3 linked regions of the Oryctolagus cuniculus genome follow. The protein of the gene in region 1 binds, or shares a complex with, the protein of each later gene. Links are inferred from orthologs where the notes say so. Each region holds a gene or a part of one and is shown in the gene's direction. Other genes may lie near its edges. The genes, in order: PRKAA2, PRKAB1 and PRKAB2.

What was found.
Region 2: the proteins of PRKAA2 (region 1) and PRKAB1 are in contact, whole or in part, in a crystal structure (PDB 8BIK), measured with the Homo sapiens proteins. The link is inferred for Oryctolagus cuniculus from reciprocal best matches to the Homo sapiens genes PRKAA2 and PRKAB1. Residues at the interface, in NP_006243.2 of Homo sapiens: Gly9, Val11, Lys12, Ile13, Thr21, Lys29, Lys31, Asn48, Arg49, Arg53, Asp56, Val58, Ile61, Lys62, Ile65, Gln66, Lys69, Val82, Ile83, Ser84, Thr85, Pro86, Thr87, Asp88, Phe89, Phe90, Met134, Met164, Ser165, Asp166; in NP_006244.2 of Homo sapiens: Pro79, Thr80, Val81, Arg83, Thr106, Ser108, Asn111, Val113, Ile115, Gln154, Val155, Asp159, Phe160, Glu161, Val162, Phe163, Ala165, Leu166, Asp169, Ser170, Lys172, Cys173, Pro186, Tyr187, His188, Gln189, Glu190, Pro191, Tyr192, Ala202.
Region 3: the proteins of PRKAA2 (region 1) and PRKAB2 are in contact, whole or in part, in a crystal structure (PDB 6B2E), measured with the Homo sapiens proteins. The link is inferred for Oryctolagus cuniculus from reciprocal best matches to the Homo sapiens genes PRKAA2 and PRKAB2. Residues at the interface, in NP_006243.2 of Homo sapiens: Gly9, Arg10, Val11, Lys12, Ile13, Thr21, Asn48, Arg49, Val58, Gln66, Gln81, Val82, Ile83, Ser84, Thr85, Pro86, Thr87, Asp88, Phe89, Met134, Met164, Ser165, Asp166, Gly167, Glu168, Phe169, Leu189, Ala191, Glu194, Pro253; in NP_005390.1 of Homo sapiens: Val60, Ser61, Gln64, Glu67, Asp68, Ser69, Thr73, Gln74, Ala76, Pro78, Thr79, Val80, Ile81, Arg82, Ile106, Ser108, Val113, Ile115, Val155, Ser158, Asp159, Phe160, Glu161, Phe163, Asp164, Lys167, Leu168, Gln191, Met193, Tyr194.

The regions. Positions count from the first base shown.
Region 1 is NC_091438.1:116,460,531-116,464,092, reverse strand, and holds part of PRKAA2 (5'-AMP-activated protein kinase catalytic subunit alpha-2), read left to right. Parts: coding exon 1-87; intron 88-557; coding exon 558-796; 3' UTR 797-3,562. UniProt on the Homo sapiens protein: Catalytic subunit of AMP-activated protein kinase (AMPK), an energy sensor protein kinase that plays a key role in regulating cellular energy metabolism.
Region 2 is NC_091452.1:15,724,053-15,728,402, forward strand, and holds the start of PRKAB1 (5'-AMP-activated protein kinase subunit beta-1), read left to right. Parts: upstream 1-1,544; 5' UTR 1,545-1,790; coding exon 1,791-1,949; intron 1,950-4,046; coding exon 4,047-4,210; intron 4,211-4,350. UniProt on the Homo sapiens protein: Non-catalytic subunit of AMP-activated protein kinase (AMPK), an energy sensor protein kinase that plays a key role in regulating cellular energy metabolism.
Region 3 is NC_091438.1:50,126,633-50,130,194, forward strand, and holds part of PRKAB2 (5'-AMP-activated protein kinase subunit beta-2), read left to right. Parts: intron 1-145; coding exon 146-279; intron 280-922; coding exon 923-991; intron 992-3,284; coding exon 3,285-3,362; 3' UTR 3,363-3,562. UniProt on the Homo sapiens protein: Non-catalytic subunit of AMP-activated protein kinase (AMPK), an energy sensor protein kinase that plays a key role in regulating cellular energy metabolism.

The DNA.
Region 1 (3,562 bases):
CAGTGACTGGCAATTATGTGAAAATGAGCTTGCAACTTTACCTGGTTGATAATAGAAGCTATCTTTTGGACTTTAAAAGCATTGATGGTAAGGAAGCTGTGCAGGTATAAACTCTTAAGAAAGTAAAACTTGGCACTAGTTGATCAGATTTTAAAATCATCTCAAAGACATGGTGGGTAAATATTGACGGGTTTTTAAGTAATCTAGACAAAATATTAAGTGAAATTATTTTTTGATATAATGGAAGATATTAAGTTGTCAATGATATGTTTTCTTCAAATGTGGGGCTATCAGTTTGATTTCAATATTAATACCACATATTTTGTCGAGAAGGATTTAGGGATCATATTTTGACCATGTGGAAGTGTTGTGATTGATTAGTGATGGATTAGGAGGAAAGAGCTATTACCACCTCTGCTCCTGAAACACTGAACATGACATTTATTACTAAGCTGCCTTTGTTCCAATATGTTTATATAATCTCCTGAATATAGCAATTTCGTAGAGGACTTGGGCAAATAGAATTTATGTATGAATTGTTCTTTTGTCCTTTCCAGATGAGGTAGTGGAACAGAGGTCTGGTTCCTCAACACCTCAGCGCTCCTGCTCTGCGGCTGGCTTACACAGGCCAAGATCAAGTTTTGATTCTACCACTGCAGAGAGTCATTCGCTTTCTGGCTCTCTCACTGGCTCTTTGACAGGAAGCACATTGTCTTCAGTTTCACCTCGCCTGGGCAGTCACACCATGGATTTTTTTGAAATGTGTGCCAGTCTGATCACTACTTTAGCACGTTGATGATCTGTCCCTGGTTTCTATCTTTCTGTTACTGCACTGTGAAAGATGAGATATATTCTTTAAATTATTATCTTACTTCTGGATGTCACATATCTGCAATACTAATTAAGAGACATGAATATTTCCAGGGGACACTCGATGCCATTGAAATTATTGAAAACAAAAATGTCTGACATTTTATTTACCTGTAGAACTCTGTAATTCTAACGTGCCTGTGATAAAATCACATAGGCAGTGTCTTTAACTATTGGACATCAATGAAGATTGTTAATTCACAGGTGTGGGTTCACTTCAGGTGATTTACTCAACTCACTGAGGAACCCTCTCAACATGAGAGGGGTTTGTCAATACCTCCCTGCTTCACTCTTTATTGTAGGTCAGTCACATTTGCTTCCTAAATTTCAGTAGGCTTTAAGCAGTGTTTATACAACCCCAGTTTTCTTGAACAAGATTTAAAACACAACCACTAGTTAGATATTATATAAATGGTGAATTCTTAAAAACTTGCCCTCCCAAATTTCAGAAGCCAAGTTTTTGCAAATATTGCCTAGTGCTCACCAGAAGGGCTGTGGTCCTGTAATAGGTAACCACGATTTCCAGGTACCTTATAAACAGTTATAGAAACCTCAGGACTTTATCTTGAGATTTCCCTAAATAATAGGTTTTAGCCTAAGAGCTTTCAGGGTTCGATTTGGTATTGGAACAAATCATCTGGAATTGCAACAATTTTTATCTTTTCTATAAACATGTCCTTTTAAAATACGCCTTCAAAACCTACTTTTCTCAAATTTGTTTTGGCTTGTTTTATGTTTTTGCACTTAACAAAGAATAATACAATAGTAGACAGTTAAATGAAACAAAGCAACGTATCAATGATCCCTTAAAAGTGAACTCTTATTTTTGATCCTTTATTTTGTATGTATGAGATGGGGATTAGGGGGAGTTAAGGAGGTGAAGGTCTTCTTGCATTTCACATTGCAAATTCTTCATTTAAAGTTTAAGTTTCTAATCGCTGTCACCTCCTTAACCCAACTAATCACCATTGTCTTTGCTCATTGTTTGATCCTCAGTGGTCCATTAACTTAGCTTTTGAGTCTTTCCCACTACCTTTCTTGGTTGCTGGCCATTCAGTTTGAAAACACCATTCTGGCCCCAAGGGCTTTTATGTACTCCCAAAACTTGAGAGGCCATGACCTTCACTGTTGAACCTGATATGGCAGAGAAGCCTTAAACATTGAGAAAAGTTCTCTCTTGAATAAATGTATGTGTTGTTTACATATATACATATATGTATTCACATACTAGTGCTTTTCAGAAAAACCAAACATTTTTTGCTGTTTTGTTTCATGCAGGTTATTTTTAAGATTAAAAAAGAAAACTATATATCAGGGTAGATAATAACTCATTTATTATATTTTGTTTTAAAAATATTTAATTTTTAAATTATGTGTAATTTATCTAAATTGTATTTATTCATTTATTGTATTTAATATGTTATAATTAACAATCTCATTCACATGACTTACTCTAAAAAATATTAAGCTCTTGAAAACGAAACAAAACAAAGTGATGACATTGCCTTGACAAATTTCTCTTTGCCAAAAATAGGATATTTTCTACCAAGAAGCAGATGTTAGAAAACGTTTCTCCCGTGCTTATCAAAGACAAGAATGTCTGTCTTGGAATGTTTTTTTAAGTTCTGAGTTTGCATTGTATCACATTGTTTTTAGGTCTCTTAAAAATGTTGTTAAGTAACTTGTAAGTTGGGCTTGTTAATGTCAAAATAAAAGGGATCCTTGTTCACCAGTCTGGGGAGCGGGATGGTCTGGAGTTTGAGATAGTACTGAAGTTTAACCTTTGAAACATTGCCATCTTGTGGCACCAGTAGGCTGTTGTTTCATTTACTGTTTTAGGTGGGTAAGTAGTCCTGTATTAGTTTGATATTCAGTCTGCTAAATGGCATCATTTTGGCTTCTCCAAATGTGTACAGGCCTCTTTTGAGAAAAACAGAACCATTCAGTCTTTGCCTGAATATGAATGGAAAGATCTTAGAAATAAGGAACTAAACAGATTCCTTTTCCCCAGTAGCAAAGTCCACAATTTTGAAGGCAGAGAAACAATGAGAAATAATCCAGTGGCATTTTAGTTTTGTTATTCTAATGAGCCAGATAATAGAAACTTATTCACATCAAATTTATATGGATGATTATCATATGTTTTGAGAGTTAAAAATTTATTAATTTTTTTCTCATTCTTACCAGAATTTGTGAACATCCACAGATTGATAATTGCTTGTTGACTTGTAGGAGACCCAAAGGGTGCAGTTTTGTTTATTCCATTTGTAAATTTTTTTAAAACAGATATTCTGTGACTCTAGATGGTTTAGTGAAATAGTTTGTAGAGAGGAGACATTAGGAGACCCTGTCTAGCTCAATAGTAGACTCTTTGTTACCTGTGAGCACAAGAAGGGAAAGAATCAATTTCTAATCTAAAATTCCTACATATCAGTCTTAGATATTGCTGAACTGTGGATGATAGATAGGTCTGAGCCAAGCACAATGTCCTGCAATCAAGACACTTCAGGAGAGCTTCTGTTATTGGGCTATAGATAAAGCTTTAGATGTGTCATGGGAATAGACTCCATGTGGTTCTAGAACAGCATGCCTCATAGTGCATCCTGTGAGATACTCTGCTGAGGAAAAGAGTTCATGATGGAGTAAGCTTGGAAAATATTACATGCTGCTCTCCTCCCTTGAGGATGACAAT
Region 2 (4,350 bases), on another chromosome or scaffold:
GTGCATATTGCCCACTGACTCACAACAGGAGCCTGTAAGATGAGGGTTATTTTTATTCCTCATACTGCAAAAGAGGCCTAGGTGACAGTAAGTATAAAGCCACATGTTTAACCCAAGAGGTTGGCATCAGAGCCCATGTCCCTAACTCCTGTTCTGTCTCAGACCCTCTCCCCAGGTAACCCCTTTCCATCCCTTTCCTTTTTAAAACATGGTGCAGTATTCTACAAAATGACTGTTTAATCCACTTAGCCATTTCCCCACTAACAAACGTTCCAGATTGGTCAGGCTGTCATTTCGTTATTTCTTCGTATCTAAGATGGCACCAATTCTAAGAAATATCCAATTTCAAGAGATTAGAATGTAAAAAAATTAATAATGTTTAATGTAAAAAAAAAATAATGTGCCTCTTACACTTACTATGCTCTCAGAGCTGGTGTGGCCAATGAACCGGCTCAGCTATAGTTCCTTGTGTGATATTTCTGTAGATGGGTTCCCAGCGGTAAAATCGGAAAAACGAAGGTGCTTTTTTCTTTATTATTATTATTTTGAGAGAAGCTGCCCACTCTAGAAGACTTCGTCTTGATCATCTGTGTTTCCCATTTCCTTGCCACAACATCGGGACTTTGTAGGTACTAAACAGATGTTCAGTGAACAAAACGCACAACCAGGTCCGGTGAGGTATTGTGTGAAATATACAAAAAACAAAAATAAGGCAATGAGATTAGAATATTGAAGGGTCATACGTGCATACTCTTTGCTGACCCACGTTCTGTAGTAAATGACAAATGCTAATCATGCCTTTGCAAAATTACTCATCAAAAACCTACGCACTGGGGCCGTCATTGTGGAGTAGAGGATAAAGACGCTGCCTGCAATACTGGCATCCCATGCGGGCACCGGTTCTCGTCTGGGCTGCTCCACTTCCCACCCAGCTCCCTACTAATGGCCTGGGAAAAGCAGCAGAGGATGGCCCAAGTCCTTGGGCCCCTCCACCCACGTGGGTGACTGGGATGACGCCCCTGGCTCCTGGCTTTGGCCTGGCCCAGCCCTGGCCATTGTGGCCACCTGAGGAGTGACCAACGGATGGCAGATCTCTTTCTCTGCCCCCCCCCATCTGACTTTCAAATAAATAAATAAATCTGTAAAAGCCTACGCACTGAATTTAATAAAAGTTCTCTTTTGTAGCCCTCGAGCTACTAGAAGGAAGAAACTTCTAGCAAAATGAGTCTAATGCATCCTAAAGCGTTAACAGCCACGGCACCAAGGGGCTTTAAGCAAAGGGCGGTTTCTTAATCAGACTTTTGCACCTTTAGCCGTACAGGGTGGCACCAGAGAAGGCGGCCTAGTACATCCATTGGCATCGCTCTCTCCAGCGCAGGTAGAGTGGCCCAGGCCGCCGGTGCACTGGTGCGCCCCCTGCCGGCCCTCCACGGCCTCACGCTGGGTCGGGCCCCCCGTGCGGCCGACTGCGACTGCGCGGCTCTGAAGCCCACGGAAGCCAGCCATCGCCGGAAGCGGAAGTGACGACGAGTTAGCCCCGGGCTGCGCCCGCCACAGCCTCCCCCGTTGTGGGGCGGAGTCGCCGGAAGCGGAAGTGGCTGAGGGGTTGGGGGAGTTGTCAGGATAGTGCCGGCTAATCTTCCCGCTTGTAAGGTCCGGGCGCAGGGGAGGCGCGACTGCGAAACCTCGCGCAGCCTGGCGATCCCGCTCCAGGCACCTCCCGACCCTTCCCCGGACTCGTGGGGAGTGCCACCCGGCTCGGCTTCCCCGTGGCCCCGCAGACCCCCGCCATGGGCAACACGAGCAGTGAGCGCGCCGCGCTGGAGCGGCACGGCGGCCACAAGACGCCCCGCAGGGACAGCTCGGGGGGCGCCAAGGACGGGGACAGGCCCAAGATCCTGATGGACGGCCCCGAGGACGCCGACCTCTTCCACTCGGAGGAGATCAAGGTGCGCGGCTCGGGGGGCGCGGGCAGGGGGGCGCGGCCCCGAGGGAGGGGGCCGCTCCCTTGGCGCTGCACCGCAGGCCGCTCGGGGGACAGTTTCCAGCTCCTAATTAATTCAGGGCGTCGCGCCGGCGGGAAGTGAGCCCCGGCCGGCCGCGTTTCTCCCAGGTGTAATTAGTCTCACGGCTTCGGGAAGTCCTGCGTGCCCCGCAGGCAGCCCGGCCCGTCGTAGGAGTGGGTCTGGGGGCTGTGCGGTCCGCTTTGGGGAGGTGGGGGGGGGGCGTGGATCAGGGCACACGTGGAAGCAGAAGGAAGAACGGCCGGGCGCAGGCCCCGGCGGCGTCCGGCGGTGGAACGCGGGCTCTGGGAGGTGGCGGTGGGTGGGCGCCCTTGTGTTGTGTCTGGGATTCAGTATTGGAAGCGGGCCAAAGCACACCTCTTGGCAGGCCGCATCGGATCCCCTGGGACGGTCTGCTTTGTGACGAGCCCAGCGGGTCCTCCTCTCCCACCAAAGCCATGATCCTGTCCATCGCCTGAGAACTCATTCCTTAAAGGGACGGAGTAGAGAGGATGAAGGGGACCCTGTTAGTATGCACCTGCACACGATTGACTCACTTTTTCCCTCCATTGTTGGGCTGGGTGCTGACACCGTCTCACACCCTCAGATCTTAGTTGGGGGTCTGACTAGGAAGATCTGCTGTTACCTGGCCCTCCATCCTGTGCTTGGACCTTGTTTCCTGAACTTGTTGCATTTCCAGAAAGCTGCCTGCAACCTGAACTTTGGAACCGTGTTGACTTAACGTCCCTTCCCCCAGAAGTACACGGGACCCCAGCAAGGCTATTGAAGACACCATAGCTTTGTGCCAGAAGTGCTGGTGTTGCGGTCCACCTGTGTAGCAGATCTGGGGAGCATACATTGTAACTGCCTGGAATCATGCAGCAGATTTAACCACACCTGTTCACCGTGGGGGCTGTGGGCGTCACATCCTCCCTGCACTGTGGTTCTGGTCTGGCATTCTTTAACCCACAGGTCTTGTTAGAATTCCGTAGACACATGCATCTTGCAGATAAGCTCAGGCGCCAAAGGCCTGCTGGACGCCCCAAAAGCCTGTCCCCTCCTCCAGCTACTGCCCTTTGAAAAGGTCTTGGCGTCTGGCCAGGAAACTTTGTTTAAACATCCTTTATTTATTTCTCCCAGAGCTGGATGTGTTTATGTCTCTCTTAGGCCAGAACACTTCAGTTACACAACACTTACACTGGACGTTACACTTCATCGTAATGTCTTATTTAGTATCTCTTCTCACCAGCACCAGGACAATGTTCCTGCCAGTGAATAGTCTTTCCCTTCCTCAAAGTCTGGATCTGCCGATTTTCAAACTGACCGGTTCTGGAATGATCCCTCACTTATGTTCACATAGTTCCAGTCTTGTTTAACGAAGGGAGGAAAATGACGTTTATTAAGCAGTTTTCCAAGCATATCTGATACTTTCCCCTGGAGTTCTAATGCAGAGCTCCTTTTTAAAAAAGAAAAGTTCTTTATCTGAAAGGCTGAGAGAGAGCTTCCGTCCTCTGGTTTATTCCCAAATGGCTGCAACGGCCTGATTTGGGCCAGGCCCAAGCCAGGAGCCAGAAGCTCCATCCAGGTCTGCCAGATGGGTGGCAGGGGCCCGAGTACTTGGGCCACCCTCTGCCGCCTTGCCCGGCGCATTAGCAGGGAGCTGGACTAGAGGCAGAGCAGTGGGCCTGTGGAGTGGAGCCAGTGCTCAGGTACGGGACGCCACATGGATCCACCGTGTCACGGGCAGCGGCTAACACGGTGCCCCACTGCGCCAGCCCCACAGGTGGCCTCTCTGCTAGTGAGGGACACAGTGCTGGGTAGGAGGCGCTTCCACACGTCCTGTCGGTCACTCGGCAGGACATTTCCACGTGGACTGTCCGCCTCAGTCTTCCCAACAACCTTAGGAATGTTTTCATCTCCGTGGTGCTGGTGGGGAAACTGAGGCACAGCCAGCCGACTACAGGGTCATGGCAGCGCCTCTTCAGGCTGCACTGGCCGGGAGCTCATTGACCTCCTATCCCGCGACACCCGCTCTGCTTCCAGGCCCCCGAGAAGGAGGAGTTCCTGGCCTGGCAGCACGATCTGGAGGTGAACGACAAAGCCCCCGCCCAGGCCCGGCCGACGGTGTTCCGGTGGACGGGAGGCGGGAAGGAAGTGTACCTCTCTGGGTCCTTCAACAACTGGAGCAAGCTGCCCCTCACCAGAAGGTAACGCCGGGCGCTGCCTGCGTGTGCCGGGAGCCGAGACATGGCTGCAGGCGACCAGGAAAGGGCACGAGGAGGAGAAACCCTCCTCACGGCCTCACAGGGGTGACTCCCACAGCGCCTGTGCTGGAGGACCCGCCCGC
Region 3 (3,562 bases), about 66 Mb from region 1:
GTTGCAGACTCAACAGGTCACAAACTCATGATCCGTGACTGTTACTGAATTTTTAATATTAGCTACCATGCATTGATGGCTTTTTTTCCCATGCATTGTTACAAATCCTCTGTCCTCCTCTCATATTTATATAAATATGTTTCAGACCTTTCCAGCTCACCCCCAGGGCCTTATGGTCAAGAAATGTATGTGTTTCGATCTGAAGAGAGATTCAAATCGCCACCCATACTTCCTCCTCACCTTCTCCAAGTTATTCTTAACAAGGACACTAATATTTCTGTGAGTATCCAGAGAGCATTGCTGGAGCATGTGGGGGTCTCTAGGACCATTTGGGTCAAAAGTTATTAACCCTAGAAGTTAGGATTGTTACAAAGGGGTATTGAGGTTATAAATCATGTGTATCTCAATAGTGTTGTAGGCTCAATTCTGACTTTTTCATGTCCTGGTATAAAAGTGAATCATTGTTTGCTGGTCCTAGCAAAATCAGGACTAGAGAGTTATGTGTTGCTAGAATTTCAGGACTTCTGTTCCAACACAAGATAAAAAGTACTTATCAATTTTTTGCATATACTTTACATCATTATTCAGTGTACCTGGTTTCCACTAAGGTTATTTTTGCATGTCAACATAAATTTGCCATATGTGTTGTGAACAAGATTTTTGTTTTAGCTCTATTAAGGAAGATTAGTAGATGTTGAGGTCTAAAATTTCTACCTGGGACTGGGAATTTTCCTTAATGGCAATGTATTACTGATACGTTCTGGGGTGTGTTATTATTTAAAGGAGATAGTGTGTTCTAGCTTAGAGTTCTCAGCGGTTCCAGGGAAGAATACAGGGATAGAAGAATCAGAGGAACAGAGGACGAGTGAGGTGTTTGGGTTGTCTGCATTTAACTCCACGTAGTGATGTTTTTCTGTCTTAGTGTGACCCAGCTTTGCTCCCTGAGCCCAACCACGTTATGCTGAACCACCTCTATGCATTGTCCATTAAGGTAAGTAGTGGCCCTGGCTCTTTTTTTTTTTTTTTTTTTTCCAAAGATTTTATTTGAGAGTTAGAGTTACAGAGAGAAGTTGAGACAGGGAGAGAGGTCTTCCTTCTGCTGGTTCACTCCCTAAATGACCGAAATGGCTGGAGCTGGGCCAATCCAAAGCTAGGAGCCAGGAGCTTCTTCCGGGCCTCCCATGCAGGAGCAGAGACCCAAGGCCTTGGGCGATCTTCTAGTACTATCCCAGGCCCTAGCAGAGAGCTGGATCAGAAATGGGACAGCTGGGATTAGAACTCACGCCCACGCAGGATGCCAGTGCTGCAGGCGGAGGATGAACCTACTGCGCCACAGCGCCGGTTCCTGGCCCTGGCTCCTAATGGAGCACCTGGAAAGGAGAGGGGGAGAGCAACACATGTTTTCCAGTAGCTGCCTGCTCTGCTGCTTCCTTGAAGCTGAAGCTGGTAGTGGTGATCCAGTTATAGAAGAGCTTTCTTTCTTTCTCTTGTTTTTGTTTCTTGTTTTAAAATCTTAGTCTTTATATCTGTGTTCTTGCTAGCTGAATTGCCCTGTGATTGAATGGACGTTTTTCCTCCTGGTTTCTTTTGCCGGGGGGCTAGAACCTTTATATCAGCTACTTACTTAACATTGAGTTCGTAGCAGTAGAATTCATCTGCTGCAAAGCAGGCCTAGCTTCCAGTTCGGAGAGTGCTTGCATGATCAGGCTTCCAGTTGTCTATCTCCAAAGGCTTGCACCCCTGATACACTGGAGATGTGACCAGATCTGCCCTGTCCCCTCCGTCTCCAGAGTCCCTCTTGGTTTCTCTGCTGTTTCAGAGTCTGGGTTGAAAATGACAGTCTCTTCTGTCGTATCACTCCCTTGTGGACTGGCTCTGTGGTCCTGAGATTTGGCCAACCATCAGAATCACCTAAGGTAGTCTGTGAAGCTACAGGTTCAGGGGCTCCATCCCCAGAGCTGCTGAGTAAGTGTGTGCAGGGTGGGCCCCTGTCATTTTTAAGCTGCTTATATGTCATAGATGTGCAGCTAGATTAGGGGAGTCACCAATACAAGTGACTTTAACAAATTATGTGATAATACATGTAAAATTAAAGACATATTATTGAATTCAATTTTTATAATAAGCTTGTGGGGTAAATAGTATTTTTAACCCCTGTTTTATAGACACAGAAACTAAAGCTCTGAAAGTCACATTACCAGTAGGTACCAGAGACCAGACTGAGGTCATGTTCTTTCCTGTAGATCACTGTTCCTGATCTTCTCACTCGTTCCTCATGTCTGCAAAACCTTTCCTGGAGTTGCATTTTTCACCTGCCTTGCTTCTGTCAGGTTTAGGCTGTGTCATACTCTGGTCCCAGAATGTTAACCTACGAAACATTCTGTAGATAGTACAGTAGAGGGGAAGGTAGGAGGATACACTGGATTCGCCATCGTATCTGCGTGGATTCTTTGGGACCTGATTGAATTTTACCTGCTGCAACCACTCCTTGGCTGTCAGTTGATGTCCACAGGTCTGTCATCTCCTCCTAGGGTGTGCTCAGTATGTGAGGTCTGTCCCACAGCCTGGGCGGTGGGCCCTCCTGCTTGCTTCTGACTGGTTCTCATGCAGGTGTAGTGCTTGGTGACTGCTGTTCAGCCTGGCCCTGACTGACCAGAGTCCACTCAGCTTGTTGCGGCTGATTGGACTGACTTGATTGGACTGAGGAGGATTTGGGCATCCACTGTCTTTGAGGAAAGTGGTAATTCCTGAGTTCCTTCTAGATCAAGGAGCACTTTTTGAGTTCATCCTTGACAGTAAATGTAAATGAGACCTGCGCTGGGGAGCGAGAGTGGCTTTCAGAAGGATCATTTCCCTTTCTTCTCATTGAATCGAAGTCCTCCTCCTCCTAGAAATGGATGCAAAAAGTTGTTCCTTTTCTTCTTTGGTAGTTTTAAGGCCAATATTCAAATTTGTGGCAAGGAAGGGAGTGAAATCGAGTGATATTTCTTCAGCACCTTAAGTGTATCAGATAATCTCATGTAATCATGAGAGCTGCCTGAGTGGTAGGTGCTACGTACCTGAGACTTAGAGACTTAGAGACGCTAGGTAGTTTACTCAAGGCTACACTACCAGTACAATGACGGTAGGAGTCAAGAATGAGGCTGAAGCTGATTTGGCTCCAAGACCAACCTCTTTCTTTTATAGTAAGTTATCTCCGCCGAAAGTGAGCGACTGTGAAGGACTGATGGCTGGGGAGAGCTGCCCACCATATAACTCATGACTTAGCGTTCTTTCTCTTGCAGGACAGCGTCATGGTTCTTAGTGCAACGCATCGCTACAAGAAGAAGTATGTCACCACTCTGCTGTACAAGCCCATCTGAAAGCAGCCTCCTCTGCCTCCGAGGATTCAGGAAAAGTATCTTTTTTGCCTTTCTGGACTGCACCGGTCTCATGTGAGACTGGGAGGCTGATTTGCTTTGAGGCCGATGTGTGTGTTTCAGAGCCTCTGAGTAGGATGCTCTGCTTTGGCATTCGATCGCGGATGAGAGCTGTATGAGTTCATGGAATTATTTTAAGAAAA